2 linked regions of the Oreochromis niloticus genome follow. The protein of the gene in region 1 purifies or fractionates together with the protein of each later gene. This does not show direct contact. Links are inferred from orthologs where the notes say so. Each region holds a gene or a part of one and is shown in the gene's direction. Other genes may lie near its edges.

Region 1 (7,267 bases):
ACTGAGAACACCTTCAAGAATGGGCTGGTGTTCAGCAGCCGTCCAGTGAAGGTCCAGGAGAAGATTCGTCTGAGAGTAGAGAGGGATTCGACCATCTGGGACGGGGCTCTGCGTGTGGGCTTTACCACTGTGCCACCCTCAGCCAGATCTCTACCTCTGCCCTGCATGTCCATCCCCAATCTCACTGACAAGCCGGGACACTGGGCTGTTCCACTGGATGAATCTGTTTGTCAAGCAGGTTCAGAGCTGGAGTTTTGGGTTTCTTCTCATGGCAGCATATACGTAGGTGTCAACAACGAGGAGTACGAGCGACTAACAGGAGTGGACATGAAACAGCCACTGTGGGCCATGATAGACATCTACGGACAGACGCGCTCCATTTTATTCCTGGGTAAGTTCACTAGAACCACAGTTATATTTGACCTGCAGAATGTTTTTCCTGTTCTGTGAATGCAGAGCAATTCACATGCTCTGACAGTTATAAATGTTGTCTGAATGACCATTCATAGACTGAATGACTATTCAAATACTCCTTTCTCTTTGCTGAAGACTCCAAGAAAAACAAAAAGCTGCTTTACCATAGAAGATCCTGTCCTGCACCTGAACCGCTCACCTCACCTGATGCTTACAGTCACTTTCGTTCAGTTCCTGATGTTTCAAACTTCAGACGTGATGACTGCATCTCCTGTCTTGACACAAAAATGCCAGAAGGTAAAGAGTCATTTCAAACATTATTGGCTAATTTCAGTTGCACATTTCTGACCAGAGAGGATAAAAGTGAAATCAGCTGTAATAGTGTGGTCTCATTTCCTGATGTCACATTTGTAATTGGGATCTCTCTCTTTTTACCACAGATAAAATCTGTGTGGTGTGCATGGTGAAAGAGGCCAGAATCACACTGCCTTGTGGTCACCGATGTTTATGTAAAGACTGCAACTTCAGAGTCTGTGAGCAGTTTGGTACCTGTCCGCTGTGTCGACACACGATCAGAGCTTCATCAGTGGTGGAGAGGTGGTTTATAGAGGTCAGCTGATCTCTGAGACAACAGCCCGGAATTGTGACAGAAGAATAGCAGCAAGAGTGAAAGGGAACGTTTACAAGATGGTAGTGATGTTCTGCTGGGATGTATGGTGTGGAGATGGTGGCACTGACAAACAGACAGGAGGCCAAGTGTTGGCAGTTTTGAAGATGCTAAGAATGTCTCTGTTAGTGACCATACGGGACAGGACTAGAAATGAGTACATTTAGAGGACAGCTCAGATTGAGCGGTTTGGAGACAAAGTTAAAAAAGCAAGGCTAAGATGGTTTGCACGTATGCAGAAGAGTGATAGTGAATAAACTGGACAAAGGATGTTGAAGATGGAGCTGTTAGACAGGAGGAAGAAAGCAAGACAGAAAAGGATGATAGGATGATCCACTGTGCCGACCCTGAAAGGGAACAACCAGAAGAAGCAGAAGAGGAAGAAAGAAACTTTACAAAAAGGTTGATGTACAGACACTGAACTGAAATATTTCTAAATTGAAATGATTGAAATAGTACATCTCTTTTTGTTTTATAAACAAAATGTATTTTTGTAATTTTTAAGTCATTGTATGACTTAAACACTTAATGCAAAATGTGCTGTATGGTTCATTTTTCATTGTTATTGTAAATTGTAAAGCAATGTTGGATTTTTTAAAATAAAAAATTCAACTATGCCAGTATAATTAATGTGTAATATGTCATAATAAGCTCTTTTCTGTTATTTAGCTGTATGTGTTTTTATGAAACTTACTGTAAATTACAGTGAAATTAAATGGACTGTGATAAAAGGAAACCTGTCGAGACCATGTTTGATTAAAAATGTCTCTACAATCAGGTATTTACTGATTATAGGGACATTAAGAGAAAAATCAAAGCAGGAGTTCAGGTAAGAACACACTGTGTTGCCGACCCAGGCCAGCCCACGTACGTGTCATTGAAGCGGCCCTGATGGTCACAAACTGCCTGCAAGATGAATGATGGGAATAGTTTCCTGTTTCTGTAGCATTGACCATCAGGGCCGCTTGGAGACTTGAAGCGGATGTGGCAGCCGTCGATTGCCCCCACCGCTCTCAGAAAGGCTCTATGGCGTGCCAGCCCTGCAAACCCACAGGACAATACCTCCAGGTCCTTGAGGGTCTTTGGGAGCAGCATGATCTAGTGGCTAATGGCCACCACCCCCTCTGTGAGTCTATGAACAATGTAGTGGACTGTAGAATGAGGCATCCCAAACACTCTTGAGACCACCTGTAGGATGCTCCTCTTGCCAACCAGAAAAGAAACACCAGGGTCTCAGTTGTTGCACCCCAACCATGCTGCCGATCCGGGTTCATGAGATTTAGCAACACTGCCATAGACTCCCTGCTTAGCCGAAAATCAAGCCTGCGATCCTCATGGTTAAAAAAACGGTCCAGGATTGGGACACTCAGGTTAATCCTGCAGTACCAGACTCTGGTCTGGTTAAGCAAAAGGTGGAGAACAACATAAATAGTTTTAGTAATAAGGTATGATTTCATTTATTTTAAGAGATCAAAGCATTAATTTGAATATTAAGCTTAAGTAAAAAATACTAATGCACTGTGAAAAGACTTAAATATTATACACTTCATCTGTGTAAATGCTAAAAACTGAGTAAGTAAAAAACATCAAACAAACGCTAGCTGGGAAATAACAATGCATCATTGATCACATTATTAGACATACTAAAGGTGTCTAATTAGTCATTGAAACGAATACATATCAATATATAAGATTTGCAAGTTAATTTATATGTCTCAGCATATTTTATAACTGGAGGAAAATACATGTTATGATGAAACAACATTTTTATTATTAAATATTTAACCTGCCTACTGTTTGAAGTGGAGGTTTGCAGGTGTTTAAATTGGAGGGAATACATAGGACTGCCTAAATTACTACAGCTCCTTGTCTCTGGCGACATCTGTCTGTGCAACCTGATATCATATGACAAATCCTGTAATAGACCCAACAGTTCCCCTCAGAGCCACAGAGGGACGGTGTGGTACTATCTTTCATGTTAAGGTGCTTTCCAATGCAAAGTCTGTCAGAGTGAAATTGGAGGATATGTTGGGGTGTTGCTTTTTGGACTGCAAAGAGGATCCAACAGAGAAGAGGGCATACATCATTTGACCACTGATGGAAAAAATAGCTTGCAAACTTGTACTTGTGTGTCTGGTGTTCCAGAGATGACCTTTATTAATCAAAAATGAGTTTTTCCTCTGTGAATAATGGATTGCTCATCTGGAAACTTGGTTCAAGAAGAATAAATAACGGTCCCTGTTGAGCTGTTTGGTAACATGGTTGTCTTTTGTCTCTAACACAGCGGCAGACTCACAGAGGTGCGACCTTTGATTCCTGGTCTCACAGCCAGACTGTTAAATATTTATCTTGGATGGCAGGGCTGCGCTGCTTCTGGACTCAGGGTGAAAGAATCTAACAGATAAAACCCTCAAGAACTTAACAGAAGCTTAACATTTGTCCAGAAATGCAGCCGATCTTCATGATTACACTGTGGATTTTACAAGACTACAGCTTGAATACAAAGGTTTTCTCATACTGGGTGGCTGCATAGGGCCTGATACAGAGGATGGAAAAAGTGACACTTATTTTGGGATTAGCCTTTGTGTCCTAGTCTGGGGCAAGTGTTTGCATATTTGGGGTTGTTAGCGGATATGAGTTCATGTAAAAGAAAAAAAGAAATATACTTTCCTGGATCCTGTCTGCTATCTGGATGTCATAGAAAGTGCTAAAGACTCTCCTTTTTCCTTTTTTTTTGATTGATATGAATGTGACACACACTAAAGGCTTAAGAGTGTGAATAGACCAACAGGATTATAACACTAAGGCCTATTTATTGAGATTGCTATAGAAATCATCTTTTTTGGCATGTGCTGTCAAACACCGGAAGGTGGTTCTGCTGCGCCTCTATGGGAATTTCTATTATTTCCAGCTGTGGATGGAAACTATTACCAAGCCCCTTTTTCCCTGATGAGCTTTAAAGAGCATGCTCACACAAACACAAGAAACACACACACACACACATATTACATGCGCACGCCTATGGACACCCAGTCAAACATTCAGACTCAGGCTGAATCATTCACAGAAGATAAAAGACACCCTGTTGGCTTTACAAAGAGAAAGAGGGAGGGAGAGTTCGAGAGAAAAAGCAGCAGCAGTAGTGCCCTCCTTTTTTTTCATTCACTTCCTCTCTCTCCTTGTGTGCTGCAGAGACTTCACCGCTCAGCCTGCACTCTACAGCCTGTAAGTACTGTACAACTTGTGCCTCGGCTTCTCACAGTGACTAACGCAAAGGTTAGAGCTACTGGGATTTAAACGCTCAGAAAGAAGACTTATGTTTTTCTAGCCTCTTTCAGTTTTGACTTCAATTTTCGTGTGAGACTGTAGCACAGATGTGATATTTGCTTCTTCTCGTCACTACTCAGTTCATCACTGGCATTGACAAACAACATAAGGCATTATTTTTTTTAAGTCACTGGTCTGTTACTGCTGTGGGTTTATTTTCAGAATTTGTTTAAGTGACCTTAAGCAGCTGTCTGTGGTTCAAAAGATGGTTATCATCTGACCTTTATCCACACACCGACTCCCATGGTGGCTTTACATGTGGGGATATTTCAGTGTTTTCATCCTAGAAGTGCACTCTATCGCTCTTTTGGAAACAGGCATTAAAACCTGCAAGGATTTATTTCTATACAAGACATGTTTAGAGTGTGAACCAGAGTCCTGGGACATGTACAGCTCAGAAAAAAATGTTGTTTACTGCTAAAATAAACTCTGATGCATTTTTGTTTGTTCTCAGTGACATTCCACATGGGCTACCTCAGCGCATAACCTGTTGTATGGCCGTCGTTCCTTATCAGTCGTCTATCATGATGGCAATGTTTTTCTACGCTTTTGACTTATCTATCTTTACATCTTTCATTTGATTACAACAGTATCTGCTGTCTCCTGTCTCCTCAGAAGACGGAGAAGCTGATGCTTTAAAAAAAGGCTTGGGCCATAGCCACCAAGTATTTTAAGGTTTTTAGATGATTGACCTCCTGAGATCTTTAGCTGTCATTGTTTTAATTAGCTTGTGTGGTAAAGGTCTGCTTGAATCTATCAGTAACAATGAAGGGCTGAAGTACAAGATCATCTGTGTTCCTTCCTATCGTGATTATCTGGTTAAAAACCCCAAAATAAAACAAAAGACAAAAACAAAAACTGGAGCTGACAATGAGTAAACCTTCATGTTTGCGTGGCAATAAGAGAGTAAGACAAATTGAGCAAGGTTTTTAATACAGAGACGTGCTGAGCACCACCGCGCCAAACCTGCTATTGCCTCTTACGTGATTACCTCATTTAGGCGCAGAGTGACAAAGTACCAGATTTGGTCACAGCAGGGTTAAAGTCTGTGCCAGCAGGACACAGATTATGAAGGAAGGCTCCTCTAGATCGCCCTGCACTGTCCGTTTAGGTTCAGCAGCTCAACTGGTTGGCGAAAACAATCCTGTGAAGCGTACAAGCTCAGTAAGTGGATATCTGCGCTGAGCTTTGGTGTACCAAGCCAGACCGCTGAATTATTGAAAGAGCTGAGTGCTTCGATTTCAAGTTGAAACTGGCGAGCACATGCACAAAAACATACACTTTTAAACAAATGGGCAGACCGTTGAGTAGGCCCTGATAAATTTCCTTCTTTGTCCTGCTGGCTTTCAGTTTATTGCTGGAATAAAACATGGATGTAAAAGGAGGGATTGCATCTGTCAGCAGGTGATCGGATCACTCACCTGCAACACAGACATTGTAAATCAGTCTTCCTGCTGCATAATATGTGCCAAAGCAAGCCTGTCAGCACACTGGATTTCAGGTTTTACACCGTTTGTCTTTTTTGGCAAGAACTGTGGGCAAACTGGAAATCCTGGTTTCATTTGGGCAAGAACTGTGTGTGTGTGTGTGTGTGTGTGTGTGTAAGACAGCAGGATTTAAGAATGTGTTTGTTCCTGTTTGACTGATCTCCTTCTAATTTGCCTTTAAAAGGGCAAAACATATTTCAGTCTCTTGTTGTTTCATTTTTATCTTCACATCCAAAAAAGTATTGCTATTGTGTGCGATCATGGGAGAAAAGTCAGCAGGACTTGTGCTGTCAGTGGTTGCCTATGTGGCGTAGAGTAATGACTCTGAAACACTTCCAGAGCTACAGGAACAGAAAGAGCTCTTATTCTCCCTTCATGCCTTTGGCTAGCCAAAGACCTGGACTGTGTACACACACACATTCATGTAAGACACACACACAGACACACAAAAGGAGAGGAAGGCATGGGATAGATAAAGTTAGGAGGGGACATGATGGAGTCACTGGGTAGTGTCTGGGAGGTGGAGGTGATGAACTATTTTGGTTCTCCTTTGGTTAACCCTGTGCAGTGAAATATCACCTTATGACAACAATAGAGCTGCTTCACTGAAGGAGGTGCCCCAAACTGACAAGTCAAGTACGAGGGGGGCACTTCTTGAATATGGGGGGGTTAAAATGGGTTGCTATGGCAATGCCTGTCAACCGGAGAAGTCTTCCGCGGAAGCAGGGAGAGAGAGGACTGGAAAAGAGAAGAAGAGAGAGAGAGAGAGAGAGAGAGAGAGAGATTGTGTGTCCTGGCTAGTTTCATGAGTCAGAGAAAGTGGAGGGAAGGTCTGCAAGTGTGGTTTTCATGCACAGCTCATGCAGACAGAAAGAGGTGTGAGTGGGTAAGTACACCAAATGGGAGCACAAATATATAAAAACCAATAGCAGGGATTGACCTTAAGCATTGTGGCTGTCTGGAAACATGTGTAAGTTTTAAAACTGTGTTTTGTTTAAGGTTGAGTAACCTGTCTGACTGCTCAGGGATTACATGCTGCTCTACAGGATTAATGCTGCGGTTTACAGTGTCTTAAAGCAAGTTAACTCATGTAGTTAGTGTTGAAACGGACAACAGGAGTGTGCTCCACTTGCGTCTGAGCAAGTGGAGATGAGAGCAGCTGGAGTCACAGCTGGAGCACTGAGGGAGAGAGTGAGAGTAAGAAAGAGAGAGAGAGAGACCTGGCATTGGGGATAGTGTTTCCCAACATGTCATCCCTTGTTGCTTTGCCCAGTGGGTAAGTGTACACTGGCAACTGTCAGGTGAGCTGAGAGGAAATAATTAGTTCTGTCAGGATTACTTTCCCATCTTGCAGCAGATATCAGGCCTAATG
Region 2 (8,166 bases), on another chromosome or scaffold:
AAGTTGATGTTGTTGTGTGGTGTGTTTTCTGTTGTTTTTGTTCTTTCTTTTGTTTTTTGTTTTTTTCCTTTACACATTCTTGCCTCTCTGCAAACCCTTTTCTCAGGGGGGTTGTAATGTACATCCCTATCTACTGAATTTGTTTCACTTTGCCGTCATTGATGTGGATGCATCAGGAATACCGGTCTAATAAGATTGCCATCACTTTTACAGAAAAAAAACATGCCCTGGGTGCACATTTAGACTGACTCATTCAGATACACTGAGATCACTGAAGGAGCTTTAGTGTAACCTTTTTAAGAAGATTTTTGTTGTTGTTGTTGTTGTTGTTTTGTTTCCATTTCCCAGATGTCATTTTGTGGTGTTTTAGAGAAATAAATGGGATACTGCTTGTGTACAGTTAATAATATATTGTTGTTGTCTTGGTAATGACTTGGTTTTTGTCTGTTTTAGTGAAGTGCATTAAAAACACACCTGCATATTTTGCTGAAAGACTCTACAAAGCCATGAAGGTGAGACAGTCTGTTCTGTGTCTGTGCATTACTAAATAGATGTAGCATCATATTCATATTATTTTTGTGTGTGTGTTATTGTTTGTGTGCAGGGAGCTGGGACAAAAGACAAAACTCTGATCCGGATCATGGTCTCCCGTTCCGAGGTTGACATGCTGGACATTCGCCAGGAGTATGTGAAAAATTACGGCAAGTCTCTGTACACTGCGATCTCTGTAAGTATCTACTATAATACAAAAGCACTGTATCCAATAAAATCTGTTTTTAAGAGATGGATGTTTAATTTTCTTGGGCTGTGTTGAACAGGGAGACACATCAGGAGACTACAAGAAACTCCTACTCAAGCTCTGCGGGGGCAGTGACTGAAAAAGGGAGGCTGTCTGTCGACTTCTTTACAGAAGTTTCTTCAAATATAGTCTTTCTGAATCTTTATCTGTATGCACTATACACACACTGCATACTTGCATGCCATGTCAATGCTTTCAATGCAAAATTTACCTAGCTTTAAAAAGCTCATACATATTGTTACCTTTCTATAAACAGTATGTAAAAAATGTTTTATATATTTTTTTGTTTGTACTATATTGGCCGGATATGACAGTACATGGATTTACAAAATGGATTTGTAAGAGTTTACATCGGATCTTGAAGAGATATATATATTTTAAAAAGATTTTTATTGTGCCAATATGATCAGATACTGAATTGTATCTGATGTTTAGCAGCTAGTTAATTTTCAGCAATGCTGATAAAAGTGAGGCATATAATACATAGCAGCTAAGTACCAAAGTAAAAGATAATGCTTGCAATTGTACAATCTCTTCTATATTTTTTCTAGTCTTGAGTTTTGTTTCTAAAAGCTATGTTTGCAGTAGTTTTGTCACATAAAGGTCACTATAGTTCATCATTGAGCATGACGTTTCATAATTAAGGTGCCATTTTCAGGGGATTCAGGAAATAAATACTGAGAATGTACACTGCGATTGTTTTTTTTGTTCATTACACTGAAAACCATAAAACTGCAACAAACTCTATGAAAAGGCTTTAGCCAATGGGCACCCCTCTAGTGTATGTCACATCCCTTTATTAGATCACAAGCGCAAATGGGTTCTGGTGAAAAGGCGTTCTGAATATATGAATATGGCAGTAATGCTTTTGAGAAGAAACCAAGTTTAGTTACATTTTTATTTGTGTCGCATCAGTCGCCTCAAGCAGACAAACCCTTGCACAATACAGACGTCTAAAAAATGTTAATACATAGTGCAGCAGATAACATTACAGAGAAATTGTTCGCAGCCATTTGAAAAAAAAAACAGAAAGATGGTAATTTGGCTGTTGATGAAGGCGAGAAAATGTTTGTTTATTGTTAATAAAAAAAAATTAAGCTTACCTTTTTGAATCAAATCATACATGTTTGATCACCTAAGTCAACTCTGGAAGTCGGAAATTACTCAGATGGTTTTTTGGGGTTTTTTTTTAATATTAATTGCTCAATTTGTTTAACATTCAGAATTTCACTAAATTGCTATTGTCAATGATACTACTTCACTAGTTACTGTATTTTAGGTCAAAAAGTAAAATTTATTGCCAGCCATTCAAACTTTGTGGTCATGCTCAATAACCAAACCTTTGGCTGGACCACTGCGATGCTGTAAGGGTTTGGTAGTAGACTTGGTTTGTCAGCAGAGGGCAGTGATGTCTTTACCTCTAAAAAATACAGCAAGCAAAAATCATAGTCACATCATGGCACTGAATTAATTATCGTGGTCACAGTTTACACATGTACAAACCACCAAACAAGGCTGCTGGTTCTTTCACACTGTATCAGCTAAAAGTCTCACTATCACTGCCATAAAGCAGTGTGAGACTTAAACACACTGTATTTTGCTCAATCAATACAGATAACTGTTCTCTATATGCCTTATTAAGTTCTGTTGGCTTCACTTAAAATGCTGTTCAACACTGTAAAGACATGGCTATGCGCTTGTCTGGCCATAGTAGTGTATGTCTGTGTGTGTTAAGTGCACTACAATCAATAACTCTGTGAAGTGAGAAGGGGGAGGCGGAGCCTGTGGAATTAATGGCATCCATAAAGCTGCCTTGCCCACATTAAACAAGTCTACCATGACTGGGGCTGTCAGATGCATGGGGGACCCTTAGGGAAGAGCCATGCTGGAGGAATCACTTTTGATCACCTCATGTTAAAACTGACTAGAAAAGGCAGAGAAGGTTTGAGGGCTTTAGATGGCTGTTTAGATTACAATGGCTAAAAGTGTAATGAATCCTGAATGCGATTACATCAGTTTTAAAAAGATAATTTAGATGTGATTAGATTAGGGTTTTTTTTAAACAAAGTGTTTCTGGCATGTCTATGCCAACATTGCAGTTCTGATATCATTACAACCATCAGCCTCTCGTCTGTTGCAGGCGTCTAGCTGAAGGCTGTGTAATTCACCGTTAATTAAAAACCACGAATTGCCTAATTTACTGTCTGTTATGACTGATCTAATCACTTGGGAATCCTCTCACAGTGTCTGAGGTATTGTGGGGGAAAAGATGAAATTACATTATGAAAGATAAAACTCTATAAATGACAGTAGCAAACACATACCCTTCTAACATTTCACTACCTCCTCTTTAAATGAGCATTGTGTATTCACTGCTTTGGGAATGCTATCACTCTCATGCATCCATGCAGGAAATTAGTGCGAGAAGTAAGTGTCTAATAAACCAATTGCTTTGTTACTCTCAGCTGAGACAGCGAAGCTGATAATAAAAAAAAAAGAAAAGAAAAAAATCCATGAAAATGATTTGTTGTCTCCATTTGAGACAATTTGACCGGGATCGGTGATGGATATACTTGTTGACAGTCTTTTCAATAAAAGATAAAGCTATTATCTGCTGTGATCTGAGCTGCCTGACATACAATTTGTTTAATAAAATTCAGTAAATTATCAGACAGCCACAAGCACCACCCTTGTAGTCTAAATAATAAACTCATTCATACCCCCAAGATAAAAAGGATCAGGCTGTCTTCTCTATTTAAATGGGATGTCCTCGAAGGTAGGGTACAGACACAATTGTCCAATCTGTGTCAGCACTAGGGACCTGCTTCCCTTTGATATGAATGAATTGTAATTAATTTTTCATCTAAAGGGATAGCACATGGTTGCACAAGCTATGGAGCCAGCATGGCAGATAGACAGAAAGGAGGAGGTGTGGGTTTGGAGGAGATGTCACAATGAGATTCAGTGCATGCATGAATAAGGTCACGGTCTGAGAGGTATGCCCGCAGATGCTTGCCTCTGTGCCAGCAGTCTTTATTCATTTGTAGACTAGAGGCAGAGTGCATCCATCATCATCACACTGCATTTCACAAAGCCTAGTCAAATACACATTTCATTTGTCACAGCATATACGTTCACAAATGGCGTTTTGCCCTCTTCTGCCTAATCCTGCACATATATGTAGTGCGCAGAGTAAAACTGGTTGCAGTGCAGCTTGGTTTTAGAGGCAGGGTGCATAAGCCTGTGGCTTCAGCAGCAGCATTAAGCAAGGGGAAGATAAAAATCCCTATGTTTTTATCACTGCTTTAACATTTTCCCCAAATAAAATTCCTAATGTAGTCAGTGAGGATTACGATGAAGCTCTGCTGATTTGTTGTGTCAGTGTTAAATCCAAAGATTATAATAATGAATTAATATCACCCGGTTTATCAACCAGCCTATTTTTGGCAACGTCTTTTTTTTAGCTCTCAAATTCATCTCATGCACTGTGGTGACATAGGAGATGATTCACACTGAGGAAAGATACATGCTTTAGGTAAAACTAGAAAGAACACCCTCCATCACAAAGCCTTGCATTACGTAAATAAATATTAATTATCATGTAATTAGCAACACACTGTTGTTTTGTCCCGGTTGATAAAGACTGCATCAGTAAAATCTGACTTAGTAGAGTTTAATTTACACTTAATGCAGTAAAAAGTATAACAATGGCTTCAAACAGCAAAATCGTATTAAATCTTATTAAAGAATCAGAATCAGAATTTATTTATTCTTATTGGCAAGTTGGTCCACAGGTTTTTCCACATATTTGTCTTGTTGTCATGATGCAAAAATCCGTGGTACAGAAATAGAATATATGGCATTTACTGTAGATATAACAAATAAATCTCTATATGAATATTAATAATATAAATACTCAAAATAGGAATATATAAATATATACTAAGTAACTACAGTAAATAAGAATACAAAGTAGAACGTTGCTTCCCCCTTTGGGTAGAAGTGCACCATTTGTGGTTCTTTACCGCCATGTCGATATTTTTAATATTATCTCTATATTTTCATTCTGTTCGTTGTGATTTTTTTCCACCTGGGATTTTCGACGTAGTACGGGGATGATGTGTACGCCCATTGAAAAAATGGGCGTGCCGTCGCGTCTTCCCCGCCTCATTTTGCCTTATATGGTCACCGAGCGGACCGTTGATTGACAGCGAGCAGCAGCTGCTGAGTTGCTCAGACATGGCGGAGGATACAGTGTAACTGGGCAGCAGCGGCGGAGTTACGTGAGTTTTCCCAGCAGTTGAGTCAGCAAAAGGCGCATGAAATGATACATAAAAAGAGGAAAATGTGTTCGGTTAAAGCGTACTCTGAAGGGAAGCGAAAAACGACGAGAAGCGCCACACGTTGGTAAGATGGAAAAATGTATCGCTGTTTAGTGCAGTCAACAGCCTTGGGCAACAAATATGGCTTCTTGTGCCTTTTTCAGTATGCTATAAAAATTGTTCTCCCGTGCAACCTAATGCCGTGGTGGCTCCGGCGAAGTTCTGCAAGCCGCTACAAGTTAAGTTCAATAATCGCTCAGTACTTTTGATCGGGAAGGATATTACATCCACTTGGCCGTCTGGGGTTAGCTGGGAAGCTACGGAACTACAGCGGATAGCAATGGAGCCAAAGCACAAAGAGTTGCTAGACCAGTGTCACCAGAACTTATTGGAGTCCATAACAGATGCGGACCGTGTGATCGAGCTGCTGATAGTTTCCGGTACTTTGAGTCAACTCGACAGGTTCGAGCTGGACCAGAACTGTTCGTCCAGCGCCGAGAAAGTCGACCACCTTTTGAAGATGCTGATGAACAAGGAGAGCGACCATTTCCTCGACCTGTGTGTGGCCCTGGAGAAGGCATACCCTGACCTGTATGCTGCTCTGTTCGGGAACAACGGGGGAGGACCTGTGGACCACTCCACCGGTAAGAGCTGAGACTCTCAGTTCTCCTGAACGGGTCTTCACTTGATTCTATAAATGAGTACTACTTACTGTAAGAAGCGACAATCTGGGTGGTCTCTCAGAAGAAAACGTGTGTGTGGATAGCTACACAATACTCGAGCTTGAAGCTTGCTTTGCCATGAGAAAGGTGCACGGGAAGAGGTTGCAGAGGGGGGTTGCAGCAGTGCTCCTTTATGCATGCTATGAAATTTGTAAGAAGAACTAATGGCAATGTGCAAATTTTTGTGCTGTTAAATGTGCAGAATATAAAGCACTGGCCTTGATCTTTAAACTGCAGGCTGGAGATATAATGCACAAGCAAGGAGTAGTACGACCAAGGACTTTTGTCATTGCTCACAGCCATTATGCCCTCTCCGAGTCTCTACTATACAGTCCAATAAAAATCAGTGCAATAGTGTAGAATTAGCTTGAGTGGCTATAGCTTCTGAATATTTTAAGTATTGATATCAGTGTTCTGTTTAAAGAAAGTCAGATCGCCTAATAACCACCACAAATTCTCATGTGTTGTTAGTGGCATGCGATGGCTGTGGTACATTAGATTAATCCGAGTTGTTTCCATGACAACGGGTGTACCACTCACATGTTGGTCTGTACCTTGTAGTGATGTGTGCATGCAGCCTGCCCATGCCTAAATGGATCAGTCTGCATCAGGCCACACTCCTCTTTTTGGGGAGTAAACCACACTTTTATTCTAACAAGGACTGATTTTTTTTTTTTCTCCAGTTGTGCATTAATGCTGCATTTTAATCAGAGTTCATTCATTGCATTCATTTCATTTGGCCTCTGTCCTCACAGCAAGTGCCCTCCACTTCAGTGGTGTGGGTTGTTGTTGCACGGAGACAAAGGGCAACCAAGTGTAAAAGCCTCATCTAGTTTTGCCTGTTTTACTTTGAATGACTGAAGCCAGTGGCTTACAAACAGTGTCATGCCCTGAGGGCCTGAATGCAGGATGAGCCTTGAGATCCAAATCTGGGGAAGAGATGCAGCGCCATGCTTGGCTTTTGATACATTTCACATTAAAACAGCATTGCAGGCAATGTTGCATATAATTTTGAAGCCACCCTGTGTGAAACAGCTACAGCTGTGTCCATAGTTTACGGCTGCCAAGTTGTAGCACGCCTCACTTTACTACCAGCAAGTAGATCTTAGCAGGTAATGCTGATTTGGTCTTGCTGCTCTGCTGACTGGATCACTAATGTTTCCTTAAGCTTTATTACTTCCTTGTATTGACTGTTGCTGCTGCAGAATAACACACCTGCTGACATGCTAAGAAACGCATTCACTGTGTTTCTTTGAGCAGCTGAGAGTCTGGTCTGGTCTGTTTGCCGTTGGCAGTACTTGGCAATCTGGATTTGGGTTTTTCTTCACTCGCTCACCTTTATAGATCATAACACCGGGCCTCAGAGCTGACCTGACTGTATTAGGAGAGTGCGAGCACAAATGGTGAGTCTGGCTTGTCAGCCTGTGGTTATTCAACAAAGGATTAGGGCCTGCTCTCCTCTCTCTGGTGTAAATTCTCTCTGTGAGACGCGCTTTATCGTACTTCTACAGTCCTCTTTATTAGCTGTCACGCTTTTGACTCCCTCTGCTTTGACTCAAGTGTTGTGCTTCTCTTTAATGTGCTGTTTATTATCTTTTAATATAGTAATTCGGATGATGCGATTACCATGTTTTAACCATACTTGCAAGAGACTGAAGACAAGCTGCTCACAGAGCACCTTCAGGCAAAGAATCTGGTAGAAAAAGCACATACGGATGAAATCCTCAAAGCTGCGGTGTATCTGTGAACAACGCAGGGTGTGTGAAAAGAGGGAATATGAGTGTGATGAGTCTTGCTGATAGCAACCTGCTCTCAACTTGTCCTCCTCTCAGGCTGCCTGCCTGCTTTTGTTCTCAGATGTGCCTCCTGTGCCAGCTGAGCCTCTATACACGCACACACATGAAATCATCCAAAGAAGCATCCTCAGCCCAAAGGAAAAACATACAGATGCACGCATAAGTACTGTATTGTTTAAAGCTCGGGCTCTGTAAATTATAAGTATTTCATTGGGAAACTGCAGCATATTTGCTGTAAAGAACATGCAAACACATTCATTATTTAGCCTGTTTTTGCGCATCTGTATGCTGGGGGGACCAAGTCTGGCTTCCTGATTTTTGACAACATTTCTACCTCTCATTAAACGGCAAAGATTCCCTTAGAATATTGAGTATCACTTTCTTTCTTTCTTTATGTTTTGGTCACTTTTTTTTGGCTTTTAAATGAAACTGAATGAATTTCATAAATTCATGCAATGGCAACAATCATGCTGTTTTTTGGGGGGGGGGTTTGTGCCTTAGTTTGCATTATACCAACAGTGACGTAC

Evidence for each region.
Region 2: the proteins of sorbs3 (region 1) and dlg5a purify together in Homo sapiens (co-immunoprecipitation; 3 studies listed by BioGRID and IntAct, with this or other methods). This does not show direct contact. The link is inferred for Oreochromis niloticus from reciprocal best matches to the Homo sapiens genes SORBS3 and DLG5.

What each region holds. Positions count from the first base shown.
Region 1 is NC_031977.2:13,314,234-13,321,500, forward strand, and holds the start of sorbs3 (vinexin), read left to right. Parts: upstream 1-4,124; 5' UTR 4,125-4,306; intron 4,307-4,338; exon of another isoform or gene 4,339-4,357; intron 4,358-6,679; exon of another isoform or gene 6,680-6,781; intron 6,782-7,267. Other genes in the region: E3 ubiquitin-protein ligase NEURL3-like, read left to right, coding at 1-450. UniProt on the Homo sapiens protein: Vinexin alpha isoform promotes up-regulation of actin stress fiber formation. Vinexin beta isoform plays a role in cell spreading and enhances the activation of JNK/SAPK in response to EGF stimulation by using its third SH3 domain.
Region 2 is NC_031978.2:16,464,818-16,472,983, reverse strand, and holds the start of dlg5a (disks large homolog 5a), read left to right. Parts: upstream 1-5,013; 5' UTR 5,014-5,461; coding exon 5,462-5,765; intron 5,766-8,166. Other genes in the region: anxa11a (annexin A11a), read left to right, coding at 454-512, 605-727, 819-878. UniProt on the Homo sapiens protein: Acts as a regulator of the Hippo signaling pathway.